Linked DNA regions of Alligator mississippiensis. The protein of the gene in region 1 binds, or shares a complex with, the protein of each later gene. Links are inferred from orthologs where the notes say so. Each region holds a gene or a part of one and is shown on either strand. Other genes may lie near its edges.

The links.
Region 2: SPAG5 (region 1) and KNSTRN share a complex: the UniProt entries of both Homo sapiens proteins name them as parts of the astrin (SPAG5)-kinastrin (SKAP) complex. The link is inferred for Alligator mississippiensis from reciprocal best matches to the Homo sapiens genes SPAG5 and KNSTRN.

What each region holds. Positions count from the first base shown.
Region 1 is NC_081837.1:1,041,018-1,048,405, forward strand, and holds the start of SPAG5 (sperm-associated antigen 5), read right to left. Parts: upstream 3,032-7,388; 5' UTR 3,017-3,031; coding exon 2,876-3,016; intron 2,758-2,875; coding exon 1,937-2,757; intron 1,850-1,936; coding exon 1,657-1,849; intron 1,208-1,656; coding exon 1,088-1,207; intron 766-1,087; coding exon 673-765; intron 1-672. Other genes in the region: RSKR (ribosomal protein S6 kinase-related protein), read right to left, coding at 3,559-3,783, 3,855-3,965, 4,066-4,154, 4,236-4,325, 4,507-4,534, 4,744-4,784, 5,052-5,159, 5,465-5,534 and 4 more. UniProt on the Homo sapiens protein: Essential component of the mitotic spindle required for normal chromosome segregation and progression into anaphase. Required for chromosome alignment, normal timing of sister chromatid segregation, and maintenance of spindle pole architecture.
Region 2 is NC_081825.1:241,491,391-241,499,171, forward strand, and holds the start of KNSTRN (small kinetochore-associated protein), read right to left. Parts: upstream 3,051-7,781; 5' UTR 3,036-3,050; coding exon 3,000-3,035; intron 2,817-2,999; coding exon 2,720-2,816; intron 1-2,719. UniProt on the Homo sapiens protein: Essential component of the mitotic spindle required for faithful chromosome segregation and progression into anaphase.

The DNA.
Region 1 (7,388 bases):
TAACCCTAGCAAGGCAAAGCTCCTCTGAAGCGGCAGTACCTGTGGCATGGCAAAGCCTTCCCAGCAGCCCTGGGCTCCGGACAGGCTACACACGGTCCCCAAGGCCCAGCAGCCCTGTGTGGACAGGGGCCATCCGGGCAGCTGCTGGGCTCTGGGGGAACGGCAGCATGACCAGGGGCTGGCTGCGGCCCCTGCCCCGGCTGTGACAAGGAGCGCGAGCGCTTGGCCAGCAATGGGCTGGCGAAGGCCGCGCCTGGGACTGGAAAAGCCAGTTTTTCCTTCTCCTCCGAGGAAGGCATTGGAGACAGTGGAAAATTACCAGCCAGGAGGCAGAACTGGAGGGAGCAGGGGAGCGTGAACGGAGCTGGGGGCGACAGGCCACGGGGAGCTCCGGGCCAAGGGGTGGGAGCAGGGCTGGGACTCTGGTGGGGACCGCACCCCACGTCCCTGGGGGACCCGACCCCAGAGAACCCAGCTCAGCCCAGAGCCCCGGGGATCCAGCCTCTGGGGGACAACGAGGGAAGACCCCGGTCTGGGGCCTGGGCTCGGCTACTGCAGGTTTCAAGGCTCCGGGGCCCCCCACTCATTGCAACTCTGGCGAGCAGCCAAGAGCGGGCACCAAGCCAGGAGGCTGCAAACGCCCTCGTGCCACCGCACCCGGCCCGGCCTCACCTCCTGGCCCAGGGCTCGCCGGTCGGTCTGCACATGCTGCAGGGAGGTGGCTGCGAAGTCCAGGAAAGCCCGCGACTGCAGGGCCCAGGATCGCTGGGGAAGGAAGCCGAGGCGTGAGGCACAGGTTTAGGGACCAGATCAACAGGGCTGCTACTAGGACGCGGGCACTGGCCAGAGGTGCGGCACCTGCTGCAGAGGTTCCTGGTGTGCGCAGAGAAGACCCGCAGAAAGGGTCCAGCCTGCCCAGAGCTACAACGCCCTTCCCTGGAGCCAGGCAGCCCCACACTGGTGCTGGAGGAGCCTGGGTAGGAGGCCCTGGGCATTCAGGAAGTGCCAGGTGCAGATGGCACAGGCAACAGGCCCTGACGCACTCCCCGCTGCCCGCAGCAATTGCTCCCCTCCCCCCGACACGTACCATCTCCCCTGTGGCCTGCTGGACGGCCTGCCGCAGGGCCCGTTCGCTCTCCCGCTGCCGCTGCAGGGTCTGGACTCGCTCTCGGGACTCCAGATACAGGTCATGATAAAACCGCTCCTCCTGGAAGACATGCCACCCCCGTCAGCGCTGCTGCCTGGGGGGGAAGGGGCAGGGGGCACCTCCCTACCCAGCAGGGCACTTTCCCCCGGGCACGGCCCTGCAGGAGTGCCCCACCCGCTCACGGTGCTCTCCCCTTGCAGCGCACGTGCGGCCAGGCAAGGGTAACCAGGACAGCGCTGACCCCGCGCGCCCAGCCAGGCGCGTGATGCGATTAGCGGGCCCGGGGCCCCAGCAGCTCTGCCAGCCCGCGTTACTTCCACCCGGCTTGCTGCGAAGACAGCGCGCCACTGGCTCTGCAGCCCAAACGCAGACTCCCATCACAGCCGCTCTGGCCAGGGAGACCCGGGTTCTGGGGAAGGTGCCGGGGCGTGCCGCGGGTGCGAAGCCCAGCGCTTGGAGGGGCAGGAGACCCGGGGGCGAGCACCGGTGGCCAGGGCAGGCCCTCTTACCGCTCCGGGATGGGCAAGGTCGGTCTGCGTGGGTGCATCTCGCTGCTCGGCCGGCCCCACGCCAGGCACCGACCCCTGCCTCTGCTGCCAGCCCTGCAGCTGGTACGAGAGGACCTCCACGATGATGAGGGTGCTCTCCAGCCGCCCCTCCAGCTCCGACCGGGACAGCGAGCTCAGCTGCTCTCGGAAACAGCTACAGGGGAAGGAAGAAATGCCCGAGCTGAGAGAGCCCCAGGAAGGTGGATGTGGCTCGATCCCCAACCCAGGGGCTAGCACTTACTGCCAGAGCAGAGAGTCGGTCTCAGCCGCGCTGTCCTTGGCGCCGCGGGGCCCAGCCCCGGAGGTGTTGGTGCCGCGCTCCAGCAGGGCCCGCGGGGTCATGGAGGTGCCCGCGGAGGTGGCCGAGACCGGGGTGACGCTGGTGCCGGCGTCGTGCTGCAGGGCGGGCAGCGACAGGCTCTGCCGCCAGGACTCCAGCAGGGCCGAGGTGCCCACGCTCCTCTCCAGCCAGGCCAGCGGGGTGGTCCACAGCACCGGAGACCCGGGCCCTTGGCCGGACGGCGGGGCGGCTGCAGGGGCTTCCTCCAGTGAGCACCCTGGGGAGGCACCGCCGCCGTCTGCCCCGAGGGCAGGCCCAGGGGACGCCTCTCCCGGCTCCGGGGAGCAGGGCTGGCTGGGGAAGGCGCCGTCGCCGCCTGGCGCAGACGGGGTGCCCGCGTTGCCATCCGAGCCGCCGGGGGGCTGCGGGGAGCCTGATGCAGATGGCAGGGCCTGGGGGCTGCTCCCCAGGGGGCTCCCGGGGACGTGTCCTGGAGCGGAGCCCTCCGAGGAGCGCGGCGCAGGCGGGGGGCTGCAGGCTGGGGCCGGGGGCTCCGTCCGCACCGCGCCGTCCCCCCTCGCCGCGCTCCCAGGGTGCGGGCAGGTCGGCCCCAGTGCGGGGCTGCGGGGCCAGCCGGGAGACTCGCCCTCGGCGCTGGATCCGGACGTGTCCGGCGTGCTGGTCCTCCACCAGGCGCCGGCCGCCGCGGGCACGGAGCTGGGGGCCAGGACCAGCGCCCCCCGCTTCTGGGCCACCGGCGTGCGCGGGGTGCCGCAGTCGTCCTGCGGGGGCACACCCCGGTCAGCCGCGTGGGCCCCCCCCGGCCAGGACCCCCCCAGCCACATCCCTGGGGCAGCCCCTCCCCAGCCAGGACCCCCCACCCCTGGGGCAGCCCCCCACCTTCAGGCGCAGGCGGCGGAGCAGCGGGGTGAGCGCGGAGGAGCCGCGGGGCAGGTCGCGCAGGGGCGCGCGGGGCGCGGGGCTGCAGGGGCCCCGCTCCCGGCCCCGGCCCCGCTCCCGGTTCTCGTCCGTGGCCGGCATGCCCCCGCGCGCCGCGCCGCGCCGCGCCCCGCGTTTGAAAATAGCGCGCAGCTCCCATTGGAGGCGGCCGTGCAACGTCACGGCACGGGGGCGGGCCCCGCGTCGCCCCGCCCACCGGGGGGTGGGGCCGGCTCGGAGCCGCAGCGCTGCGGCCGAGCGCCCGACCTCAGTTTACCCTTCTGCAGCTTGCGCCCATTGCTCCTTCTCCTCCCACCGCAGCCGCGGCCTCCCCTGAGTCCAACGGAGGGGAGCAGCCCTGCCCTTCACCCGCGGGGGCGGTGCAAGGGGCAGCCCCCACTCCCCAAGGAAGACCCCCACCCTGACCCTGCCACAGCCACAGCCACAGCCACACACACCAGCCCCAGAGAAGAAAGTTTATTGCTGGTCTGCCCCGCAGGCCCCGGGGCAGGAGGACGGGGCTACAGCAGGCAGTGCCGCCTGCCACTCCCCTGAGATGCCGGTGGCGGGTCCGGCGCAGCGGCGGGTTCCTGAGTGTCGGGCGGTGGCCGCGGCCCGGTGCGGGGCAGCCCCGCAGGGCGCCCTCAGCCTGGCCAGGGCTGGCCGCGGGGGGCCAGGAGGTCACAGTCGAAGTCCGTGAAGGCGACGGCGGCGTCCAGCGTGGTCTCTGGTGCCCGCGGCACGGCCACGGCCACAGCCACAGGGTGCTTCTGCAGCAGCTGGGGGTCGAAGGTCACACCCCGAAAGAAGGGGTGGGCCTTGAAGTGGTGCAGGTGGTGCGGGCGCTGCAGCGGGGTGCGGCACAGGAGCTGGGGGGGAAGCCGGGCGTGAGGGGCCGCGGGCAGCGCTGGGGGATGGGGAGGTGGGCAGCGGGCATTACCTCGCTGAGCAGGAGGGACAGCGCCCGGCTCAGGCTGGGCGGCATCGCGTAGCTGCACCGGGTCACGCTCGCCAGCATGGCCACGTGGTCTCTCTCGGGCGCCACGGGGAACTGGGGGCACGGAGAGGAAGGGTCAGCGCCTGGGCCCCTCTCCCCATTGAGCCCCTTGGGCTCGGGCCCGGCTGGGGGCCCGGAGCAGCACGGCCTTCACCTGTCCCGTAGCCAAGGCGAAGAGCACGACCCCCAGGGACCACCAGTCAGCAGCGTGAGTGTAGGGACCTCCGCTCAGCACTTCGGGGGCTGTCGGGGAGATGAGGAAGTGTCAGGGTGGGCGCGGGCCCCGGCCCCAACCCTCACCCCAACCCCAACCCCGCAGCTCACCCATGTACTGCAGCGTGCCGCAGATGGTGTAGGCACGCTCCCCCCGCGGCAGGTGCCGGGAAAGGCCGAAGTCCGTCAGCTTCAGGTGCCCTGCAGGGAGGCGCGGGGGCATCACCGGGCTGCCCCCACCCTGCGCACCCCTGGCCCGGCCCCATCCTGGGGCTGTGGGTGGAGGAGGGGGCCTCCCCTCCCAGCCCAGTGCCCCAAGCCGAATACGCTTCCGTTGAGAGGAGGGGACCAGCCCCGGGACGGGCGCCCCACCGGGCTTTACCTCGCTCGTCCAGGAGGATGTTTTCCATCTGCAAGAAGGAGACGGCGGGTTATGTCGCTCCCGTGCCCAGGACACAGGAGAAGCGCAAGAGGTGGCAGGGTCCCTTGCCCCGGTGCCCCGAAGCCCCTGCCAGCAGGGAGGAGGGAGCCAGTGGGGCCAAGGCACCCGAGCCTGGCAGCTAGCACCCCCATGGCAGGGCACCGGCACGTGGCAAGGCCGGACGGGGCCACATCGTACCTTCACGTCGCGGTGCACGATGCCCAGGTCGTGGAGGTACCCTGGGGGGAGGCGCAGCATCAGCAGCCCGGTCCCCTCCCCACGGCTTCCCCAGCCCATCCCAGAGCAGCCCCCACAGGAGACCTGGAGGGGACAGTGGAGCTCCTGGGGTCTGGCCGGCCCCTCCAAGGGGGCAGCAGGAGGCACAGACCAGCCTGGAGCAGGGTGGGAGCCCAGCAACCCCCACCGGTGCTGGGGCTCCCGGAAGCATCGCCAGGGCAGCCCGGCAATGCCCACCAGCTCCCTCCGCCCCGGCGCCGGCCACTCACCCAGCACCAGGATCAGCTCGGCCGCGAACAGGCGCACGGTGGCTTCCTCCAGGTGCCCCGAGGCGGCCCAGAGCGCGTGCAGGTCCCCGGTGCTGCAGTACGTGCACACTGCGCAGGGCGAGCAAACAGACGCGCTGCAGCCCAGCCGCCCCCAAGAGACCCCCCCTTCCCCTGGGGGAGCCGGGAGCAGAGCAGGTCCCACACGGCTTCCCGTCACCCCCACACCACGCACCGCTCTCCCCCGGGGCAGAGGCAGCCCCTGCCCCTCTGATCTGCGGGGCAGCAAGCAGCGCAGCTAATCCAGGGATTGCAGCCGCCGGCTTAGCGTGGGGCAAGCGTGTGGCAGAGACGTGCGCAGGGGGAGCATGTGCAGGGGACCGGCTCCCGCCGGCCAGCAACAGATGGTCACTCACTGATGAAGAGGTGCCGCTGTCCCTGCCAGCTGTCCCCGAGGCAGTGAACAAAAGGATGCTGCACCCGCCGCTGGCAATGGAGGGAAAGGACCCGTGAGTACCCGAGCCAGGGTGGGCAGGAATAGGCAGGGCCCGCAGGAGGGCTCAGCCCCTGCCCAGCCCCCCTCTGATGTGGGGCACCAGTCCCTGCCTGAGAGCCAGGGAGAGGAGCCGGCTGCCCCACATCCCCCAGCCCTGGCAGGTACCTGGATGCTGACTTCCTCCTTGCACTGCTTCAGGGTGTCCCGCCGCAGCACCTCCACCTTGGGCACCACCTGCGAGAGGCACGGCAGGGGTGAGCGGGAGCGGCACGGCCTGGGCACAGGCAGGGCGGTGCAGGACGGGCACTCACCTTCACCGCGACCACCATCTCCCGCCTGCAGTCCAGCACCTTCAGGACCGTGCCGAACGAGCCCTTGGCCACAAAGCCCAGGACCTGCCGGAGGAGAGGGCGGAGGTTGGCGCCAGGACAGCTTGGAAGCCATTAAGCCGGGTTCAAAAAAGGGGCCGGACGTGTGCTTGGAGGAAAAGGGCATTGGCAGGTACCGGGCGCGGGGCACGGCCTCGGCATCGGAGCTCCCTGGACCTTAAATGCTGCAGGCCGCGAGGGAGAGGCAGAGGGGAAAACCCTGCTCAGCCCCGTTCGGCATCACACCCTGCTGCCGCGCCACGCAGGAGACGGGCCAGCACCGGACCCAGAACACGGCAAGTCTTATGTTTTCATGGCACTCCCAGGCCCAGGCCCAGGGGCACGCAGACCGGAGCCCTGGAGCAGAAAGGAGACCCCGGGGCCAGAACCACCACAACCAGAGCCGGGGAAGGGGTTGAGGAGGCTCAGGCTCGTGTCCCCCGGGGGCTGGCAGAGGAGAGTGCCCGGGAGGAGGTGGGGAGGCTGGGACGGCCAGGGCTGAGGCCGGGCTCTGTCCCGGGGGCCACGCGACCGCCCCCAGCCCAGCGGGCCCCGCACCTTGAGCTGCTGCTGGCGGATGGGGGGCCGCACGGGGAACTCGGGGAGGAAGAGGGCCACAAACTGCGGCAGCGGCCACTCCGACACCACCTTCTGCACCAGCCGGGGCAGCTGCTCAGCCACGGGGATCGGCCCCCGCGGCGACTCGGCCCCCTCGTGCCGCCTGGCCACCAGGACCCGCTCCAGCCCTGACACGGCAGTCCCCACGCTGCACAGGACACGCTTCCAGCTGCGGGGCCAGGCAGGCTCGGCCGCCACACCACTGCCCTGCAGAGCCAGCGGAGCAGGGGTCACCTGCTGCGACCTGCTTGGGACCCGGACCCAGCCCTGTATGGCACTCCCCATTCCCCCCCAGGGATCCTAACCCCCCACCCCTCGCAGCCACTTGACCACTCCTATCCCCAGCCCCCATGCTTAACCCTGCACCCGCAGCCCCGCGACCCCCTGCCCGTGGACAGACCGTGAACGATGCCGGCGCGGTGCGGGGGGCGGCCGGCTGGGGCTGGCTGCTGGCGGCTCCCATGGCCCCTCCGCCCTAGCCTGCCGCCCACCCCGTACGCCGCATGGCTGGAGGATCCTCGCTAGGCAGCCCCTCTAATCCCTGGACCGTTACATAAATGCCCTAATCCCCACGGCTGAGGACTGCTCGTTAGCATGCAGGCCCGCTCCTCCCCTTTGCATAATGAGCACCGCCCATGGCCAGGCCCCAGCCCCACGCACAGCTGCCCCATGCCCCCCCAGACTGCGCTGGCCACAGGGGGGCTCTGCCAGCCTCCCCCCCCAGCTGTGCCCAGGTGCCTCACAGCTGGATGGTCCCTGCCACCAGCACCACCCAGGTTGATGCAAAGCCAGCATCTCTGCTCCCCACCAGGATAAGCTGCACAGGCCCAGCCCAGCACAGCCCAGGAGGGGGGCCTA
Region 2 (7,781 bases), on another chromosome or scaffold:
GCTTGTGGCAAAGCCCCCCAGCGCAGCAGGGATTGTCCCCCCTCGTGCTTGCTTGGCACCTATGCAGCAGCTGCCCTATGCCACAGGTGCCGTGCAGCTCAGCAGGGTGCTGTGTGCTGTCCGAGAGCTGGGGCTGCTCCACCTGTCAGCCAGAGCCCAGCATCGCTCAGCCCCAGCTCCCAGACAGCGTGCAGTGCCCCGCTGAGCTGCGCTGCACTTGCGCAATGCAACAGTTGCCGCGCAGGTACCAAATGGGGGGGCTCCGTCATGAGTACCCAGAGGCCCCAATTGCTGCTCCTGCAGCAAGTGAGTATGGGACTTTAAAAAAAAAAGTGCCAGGAGGCTGGGCTGGGCATGGGGCCAGACAGGGCAGCCATGGGGGCTTCTGTGCCTGCCTGTCCTGGCAAGGGGAGCCACAGGGGCTATGCCCTGCTGTTATGGAGAAGGGGAGGGGGAGCGCAACGCAGGTGTGGCTTACTCTGGGCAGCAGCATGGCATAGCCCCTGCTCCCAGCGCTACCGTGTCCAAATTAGCACTGGGAGCAGGGGCTCTGCCTTGCTGCCGCTTGCCAGCTTCTGCAGGGAAGCGCAGGAGGTGGGCGCAGCAGCACTGGGAGCAGGGGCTATGCTCTGCTGCCACTTGCCCCCTTCCGCCTGGAGTGAGCAACGCCTGCATCCTGTCCCCCTCCCCGGCTGGGCAAGTGGCAGCAGGGCAGAACCCCTGCTCCCAATACTGCGCCCCCCTCCCCCCCCCCCCCCCCCTTCCGGGCAACTCGTCTCAGCCCCTTCCCTCCCAACCCCAACAGACTTACCAACTGAAGGCAGCCGTCAGCTGGCTGTTTAGTCTATGGCCAAATCGTCTGATTTGATTTGGAGATATGGTCCCCAAATCGGGCGAATTGAATCAGCTACCGAAGCTTTGCACAGCCGTAGTCATTATCACTTATAGCATGCAGGAACCATTTCAGGAATCAGATAGTGTGCAGAGTCAGTATCTGTCTGCTTGACTGGTGCTTGTGTGCTACCCCTGGGAATTTCTCCCCTCTCCAATTTCAGAGCTCTACCCATTGTTCTCAATCATCGCTATGCATGCTTCCCTCCCCTGATCTGAAGAATACCTCAGCCAAAAGCTTGTTTTAATTCTACCCCAACCTTGTAGTTGGTCCAATAAGAGATACCGCTAACAAAAAAAAAACAAAAACAAAAAAAACCTCGCCGCTCTCTCAATTCCAATTGGCTGAACCAATTGCAGCTACGTTACCAAATAATAAATAGTAGGCCGATTTCTCCAGGGCTCCACTGGACAGGAAAAAGGAAACCTAAGCAGAGCCTTCTTTGAAACTGCATCCAACACTTGCTTTCCCTTCTGGCATTTTGGACAGCAGCAAAACAGGGCCAGAAAGTGCAAACTCCCTGTGCTTCCACCTAGCTCTGCCCAGGTGAGCTCAGTGTGACAGAGGCAGGCTAGAGAAGGAATCAGGGCTGGAATAAATTGTACAAGCTACAATTGATCAACACACTGGGCTGCTTCTCAGGTCTAAGCCTTTCTGGGGGTGGCACAAAATGCCAAACGCACAGTTAACAACCCAGAAGTGCCAAGTTCAAGGCCACAGCAGGAGCACTCACCACGTGGCTTCGTCAGATTATAAGAAGTCTGCGAGTTCTGCTAAATACCTTGTCACACAACGACACAAAAAGGAGAGGAAGCCTCTCTCACTGCTTTCCTACCTATTTGCAAGCAACAGCCTGGATTTTGCCCTTTATCCCAGCAAACTTCAGCAGGGTGGATTTGTTTTAAAACCAAACTGATATAAATCATGATTTAAATCAGTGGTCAGAAAGCCACGATTTAATCATCACTTTCTACAAAAAGTGCACTCTTGTTGTTTGATATCTTCTATTCCTTTAACTTCTTGAAACTTTGCACTTTTAGAGAGGGGTAAGGGCTTGACTCTGTGTACATAAACTTGCAGAGAGACAAAAGGGCTGATTGGTAGGCAAATCAGGTCTGTTATCTCTTGTCTCCATATACTGCTGTTATCAAGGATATTATCTCTGGAGACACAAATCCAGAGTTTGAGAACTGAAACTAACCATCGCAGAGATACTTAATGGGATCTAGACTGAGCGCCAAGTCCCACTGGGTAGTATGGTTTTCTTTAATCTTTACTAATCTATAGAGGAGCCTTTGGGAACCCCATAAAATTGGGCCCTTAATATAGTCCATGGCCTGTTGTGACCTATTTACAAAACTTTTCTAAGAAGGTTACATGACTATATCGTCTCAAGTTGTATACAATTAGAAGTTATAATTCCTATTCCATGATGCCATCTTGGAATTTCAGAGAAATCACTAATCCAGGGCTCTGGCCAAAACACAGGGGCAGATGAAAGAGTGAGCTTTAACTTATCTTAAATTAAAACTGTCTTTATATAGGTGCTTTTTGAAAAAAAGCATCTTAACAAAAAAACAGATTCAATTTTTTTTTTAAATCCCGCTTTTATTTCTTTTTAAAATTGTTGATTTTTACCCACCCCGACCCTCAGCTTTACCAGCCCTAGCCCAACTCTTGTCACTGCAGCAGAGGAGGCCGCCAGCCCCTGGGGCACCCTCCGCCCCTTGTCGGGCCCCTCCTCTGCGGGACAGGCCGCCGTGCTCGGGGCTCCCAGGCGCGCTGGAAAACAGGCAGGCCCCGGCGAGGCCATGGGCGCGCACTCACCTGCCGGGGCGGCCCGGGGCAGCGCGCTGGCGTGCGAGGAGGAGTAGACGGGGATGCGGGACGGCTCGCCTTCCATGCTGCGGGGCGGATGGGCCGCCTGCGGAGACCATGGGTGTGACTCCTGTCCTCTGCAGGCCAGGCCAGGCCAGGCCCCGCCGGCCACCGCCCTCCCGCCCCATGCCCAGCCCCGCCTCCCCCAGGCAGGTCCCCGCCGCGGGGCCTGCAGGCGCGGGGGGGTGAAGGGTGGACCGTGACCGGGCCTGGGCCGCGTCCGCCTCACCCCTCGCGTCCGCCCCCGCCCACGCCCACCCCGCATGGATCGAGACCGCGACACGCATGAAGCCACGCCAGAGAGGCAGCCGGACCCGGCAACGCCGCCCCGACACACCTGCCCAACTCCCGCGGCCGTTTGAAATGGGAACAGCCCCTCAACCGCCCCGGGGAGGGAGGAGCAAACTCGCGCGCAGGCGCAGACATCGACGGGAGCCCCGAGGAAGAATGTGGGCGCATGCGCAGAGAGGAAAGCGAAGCCCTACTTTCTCTCCACCCAGGCAGGCTCGCCCTCACAAGGAAGGGGCAGGAGCGGGATGCCACGTAGGCCCCGCCCTCCCCCGGGAGGGGGCGGGCCCTCCTGGCCGGACGGGGAGAGATCCGCAGCCGGGGCGGGGCCTGTCGGGCACCGTCCAATCAGAGTGCAGGGAGGACGGGCCAAGGGGCCTCCTAGGGGTGCCTACTCCAAGCTCGAGTTGGGGGTGGGATTAGTGTTCCCTTGGTCAGGTGTAGGACAGCGGGGCTTTTTCGGCGGCGCCTGCCGCTGGTGCACATCGTCTCCCTGTGTGGGGGGACAGCTCCTCAGTGGGGAGCTTGATCGCAGTTCTTTGACGTAGCTGGTTGTTGTCCTACCGAAAACAGGCAACACAGCCCCTTCTCACCAGGCACCCGCGCTGCCTGCTTGTTCATGTATTCATTGGTTTGGTTGTCTGCTGTCTAGGCCGATTGAGGCCCCCATGGTGAGGGCAGGGGCTGGTGGCGCTGCCCAGACAGGACAGTGCGCGGGACACAAAGGTGGGGAACGGGCAGCTCGCCCAAGGGTGCAGGCTGGGGGGAGGGGTGCAGTTCCCCACTGCTGCGCACACGCCCTAGGGAAGGCATGAGGGAGGGGGGCAAGTGTTCCCCGCCATATTTGTGTATAGCACCAATATGAGTTGCTCATTGTGGGCTCAGGACTCTCCACTCTGCAGCCTTTCCCTTGGGAGCCCCATGCCAGCAGCACACCCCCTGCCTGCCCAGCAGCACGGTGCTGCGGGTTGTGCCCCTTGCTGCTGCGTGGGCAGGGAACGTGCGGCTGCTGCACAGCCCTCGGCAAAAGCAGCAGAGTGGAGAGCCCTGAGCCCACAGCAAGGAGCCTGCATTCACCCTTGCCCACTGGTCCACTCTGGCTGTGGTGGGGATGGGGCAGGGAGGAAAGGCAGACATAGATTCATAGATTCATAGATGTTAGGGTCGGAAGGGACCTCAATAGATCATCAAGTCCGACCCCCTGCATAAGCAGGAAAGAGTGCTGGGTCTAGATGACCCCAGCTAGATACTCGTCTAACCTCCTCCTGAAGACCCCCAGGGTAGGGGAGAGCACCACCTCCCTTGGGAGCCTGTTCCAGACCTTGGCCACTCGAACTGTGAAGAAGTTCTTCCTTATGTCCAGTCTAAATCTGCTCTCTACTAGCTTGTGGCCATTGTTTCTTGTAACCCCCGGGGGCGCCTTGGTGAATAAATCCTCACCAATTCCCTTCTGTGCCCCCGTGATGAACTTATAGGCAGCTACAAGGTCGCCTCTCAACCTTCTCTTGCGGAGGCTGAAAAGGTCCAGTTTCTCTAGTCTCTCCTCGTAGGGCTTGGTCTGCAGGCCCTTAACCATACGAGTTGCCCTTCTCTGGACCCTCTCCAGGTTATCCGCATCCCTCTTGAAGTGCGGCGCCCAGAATTGCACGCAGTACTCCAACTGCAATCTGACCAACGCCCTATAGAGGGGAAGTATCACCTCCCTGGACCTATTTGTCATGCATCTGCTGATGCACAATAAAGTGCCATTGGCTTTTCTGATGGCTTCATCACACTGCCGGCTCATGTTCATCTTGGAGTCCACCAGGACTCCAAGATCCCTTTCCACCTCTGTGCCACCCAGCAGGTCATTCCCTAGGCTGTAGGTGTGCTGGACATTTTTCCTCCCTAGGTGCAGCACTTTGCATTTCTCCTTGTTGAACTGCATCCTGTTGTTTTCTGCCCACTTGTGCAACCTATCCAGGTCTGCCTGCAGCTGTTCCCTGCCCTCCGGCATGTCCACTTCTCCCCATAGCTTTGTGTCATCTGCAAACTTGGACAGAGTACATTTCACTCCCACGTCCAAGTCGCTGATGAAGACATTAAAGAGTATCGGTCCAAGGACCGAACCCTGCGGGACCCCACTGCCCACACCCTTCCAGGTCGAGACCGACCCATCCACCACGACTCTTTGGGTGCGACCCTCTAGCCAATTCGCCACCCACCGGACTGTGCAGTCATCCAAGTCACAGCCTCTTAACTTGTTCACCAGTATGGGGTGGGATACTGTATCAAAGGCCTTCCTGAAGTCTAAGTATACGACATCCACCCCTCCTCCTGTGTCCAGGCGTTTCGTAACCTGGTCATAGAAAGAGACTAGGTTGGTCAGGCACGATCTGCCCGCCACAAACCCATGCTGGTTTCCCCTCAGCATAATTTGCCCTGCCGGGCTCTCACAAATGTGAGCCTTGATAATTTTTTCAAATACTTTACCAAGGATGGAGGTGAGACTGACCGGCCTATAGTTGCCCGGGTCCTCCTTCCTCCCCTTTTTGAAAATGGGGACCACGTTAGCCCTTTTCCAGTCCTCCGGGACTTGGCCCATGCGCCACGAGCATTCGAATATTCCCGCCAGTGGCTCTGCAATGATGTCGGCCAGTGCCTTCAGCACCCTCGGATGGAGCCCATCCGGGCCTGCCGACTTAAAGGCATCCAGTTCTTCCAAGTGACTCTGCACCACCTCAGGATCTACGTATGGAAGTCTGGCGCCTTGCTGCTGCCTCTCTACAACCCCAGTGAGAGACTTGTCATGCCCCTCACTTAGGAACACTGAGGCAAAGAACTCGTTGAGGAGTTCAGCCTTGTCCCCCCTATCTGTCACCAATTGTTTCTGCCCATTTAGCAGCGGTCCTATTCCTCCCTGGGCCTTCCTTTTACTCCCAATATATCTAAAAAACAATTTCTTGTTGTCCTTTACTTGGGTTGCCATCCTCAGCTCCATGGTAGCTTTGGCCCGCCTAACTGCCTCCCTACAAGCACGAGCAGAGGAGGTATATTCATCTTTAGTGATCTCACCCTGTTTCCACTTTTTATGTGCTCCCCTTTTGGCCCTTAGGCTGCCCTGGATTTCTCTGGTCAGCCATGGAAGCCTCCCGGCCCCTTTCCCTCTTTTGCCTCGCTCGGGGATCGTCTTGCTTTGTGCCCGAAGGATCGTTTCCTTTAGGCACAGCCACCCTTCTTGGGCTCCCATCCCATCAAAACTCCTACTCTGCAGTGCTTCCTTGACTAATCGCCTGAGTGCATTGAGATCAGCTTTCCTAAAGTCTAGCACTTTCACCCTACTAGTTACCTTACCCACTCACCGTCTTATGTTGAATTCTATTATAAGGTGATCACTGTCTCCCAGATAGCTACCGATCTGGAGGTCCCCTATCATGTCATCTCCCGTTGCCAATACTAGATCCAGTATGGCATTCCCCCTAGTGGGACCATGCACCTCCTGTGTCAGGTGGAGGTCCTGTACACAAGTTAGAAACCTGCGTGAGCGATGGGACCTTGCTGTCTGCATCTCCCAGCAGATGTCCGGGTAGTTTAGGTCCCCCATGACTACCGCCTCTTTAGCTTTTATGGTCTCCGAGAGTTGCCTCAGGAGCCCCGCATCTATTTCTTCCCCTTGGTGTGGGGGTCTGTAACAGACCCCTACCACCAAATCCCTTTCTCCTTGCCCCCCATGTAGCCTAACCCACAATCCTTCTACTTCCTCAACCTCGGATTCTGTCTTGATGAGGGTTGATGTGTATTGCCCCCCCTTTCTTCCCCGACCTGTCCTTTCTATACAATCTATAGCCCTCAATATGTACCGCCCAGTCATGGGATGAATCCCACCAGGTCTCTGTTAGCCCCACTAAGTCATAGGTGTTTAGTGCAAGCAGGAGCGCTAGTTCATCCTGCTTGTTCCCCATGCTCCTAGCATTAGTATATAGGCACTTGAGCCCTGTGACTGGTGCCTTTGCTGCCCCCCCGCTCCGAGTCCCAAGGGGCCCATTGTTTCTTACCTTCTTGTTTGTTACCTGTTCTGTAGTGCTGGCCTCCCCATGGCTTTCAGGTTCCCAATGTTCTCCTTCTTCAGGCTGGGCTGTCCTTGTGGGTGCCACACGGTTTGGTGGTCCACAGCTTCCCCTGCCCTCGTACTCCTCTCCCCCCGATGAGCCTAGTTTAAAGCCCGCCGGAGGAGATCCGCCAACCTAGAAGAAAACACACGCTTACCTTTGGGGGACAGGTGAAGCCCATCCCAGCTGAGCATGTCCCTCGTCGTGATGTGCGGGTCATTGTCCAGGAAGCCGAAGCCTGCCTCGAGACACCACTGCCGAAGCCGCCAGTTGGTCTCTCTGATGCAGTTCTCCTGCCGTCTTCCTCGTCCGGTCACTGGTAGGATGGAAGAGAAAACCACCTGGGCACCGAACTCCTTCAGCACGCCACCCAGAGCACAGTAGTCCGCCATCAGGTGATCGGGGGTTCTCCTGGCCGCATCATTAGTACCCACATGGACTAGGACCATGGGGTAATAATTGGTGGGCTTGATCCTGGCCTGGATTACCTCCGTCACATCCCGAATCTTTGCTCCAGGGAGGCAGCATACCTCTCGTGCTGAGGGGTCCTGGCGACAGATGGGTCCTTCCGTACCTCTCAGGATGGAGTCTCCTATGACGAGCACTCGTCGCCTCCTCCTCTGGGTCATCGTGGA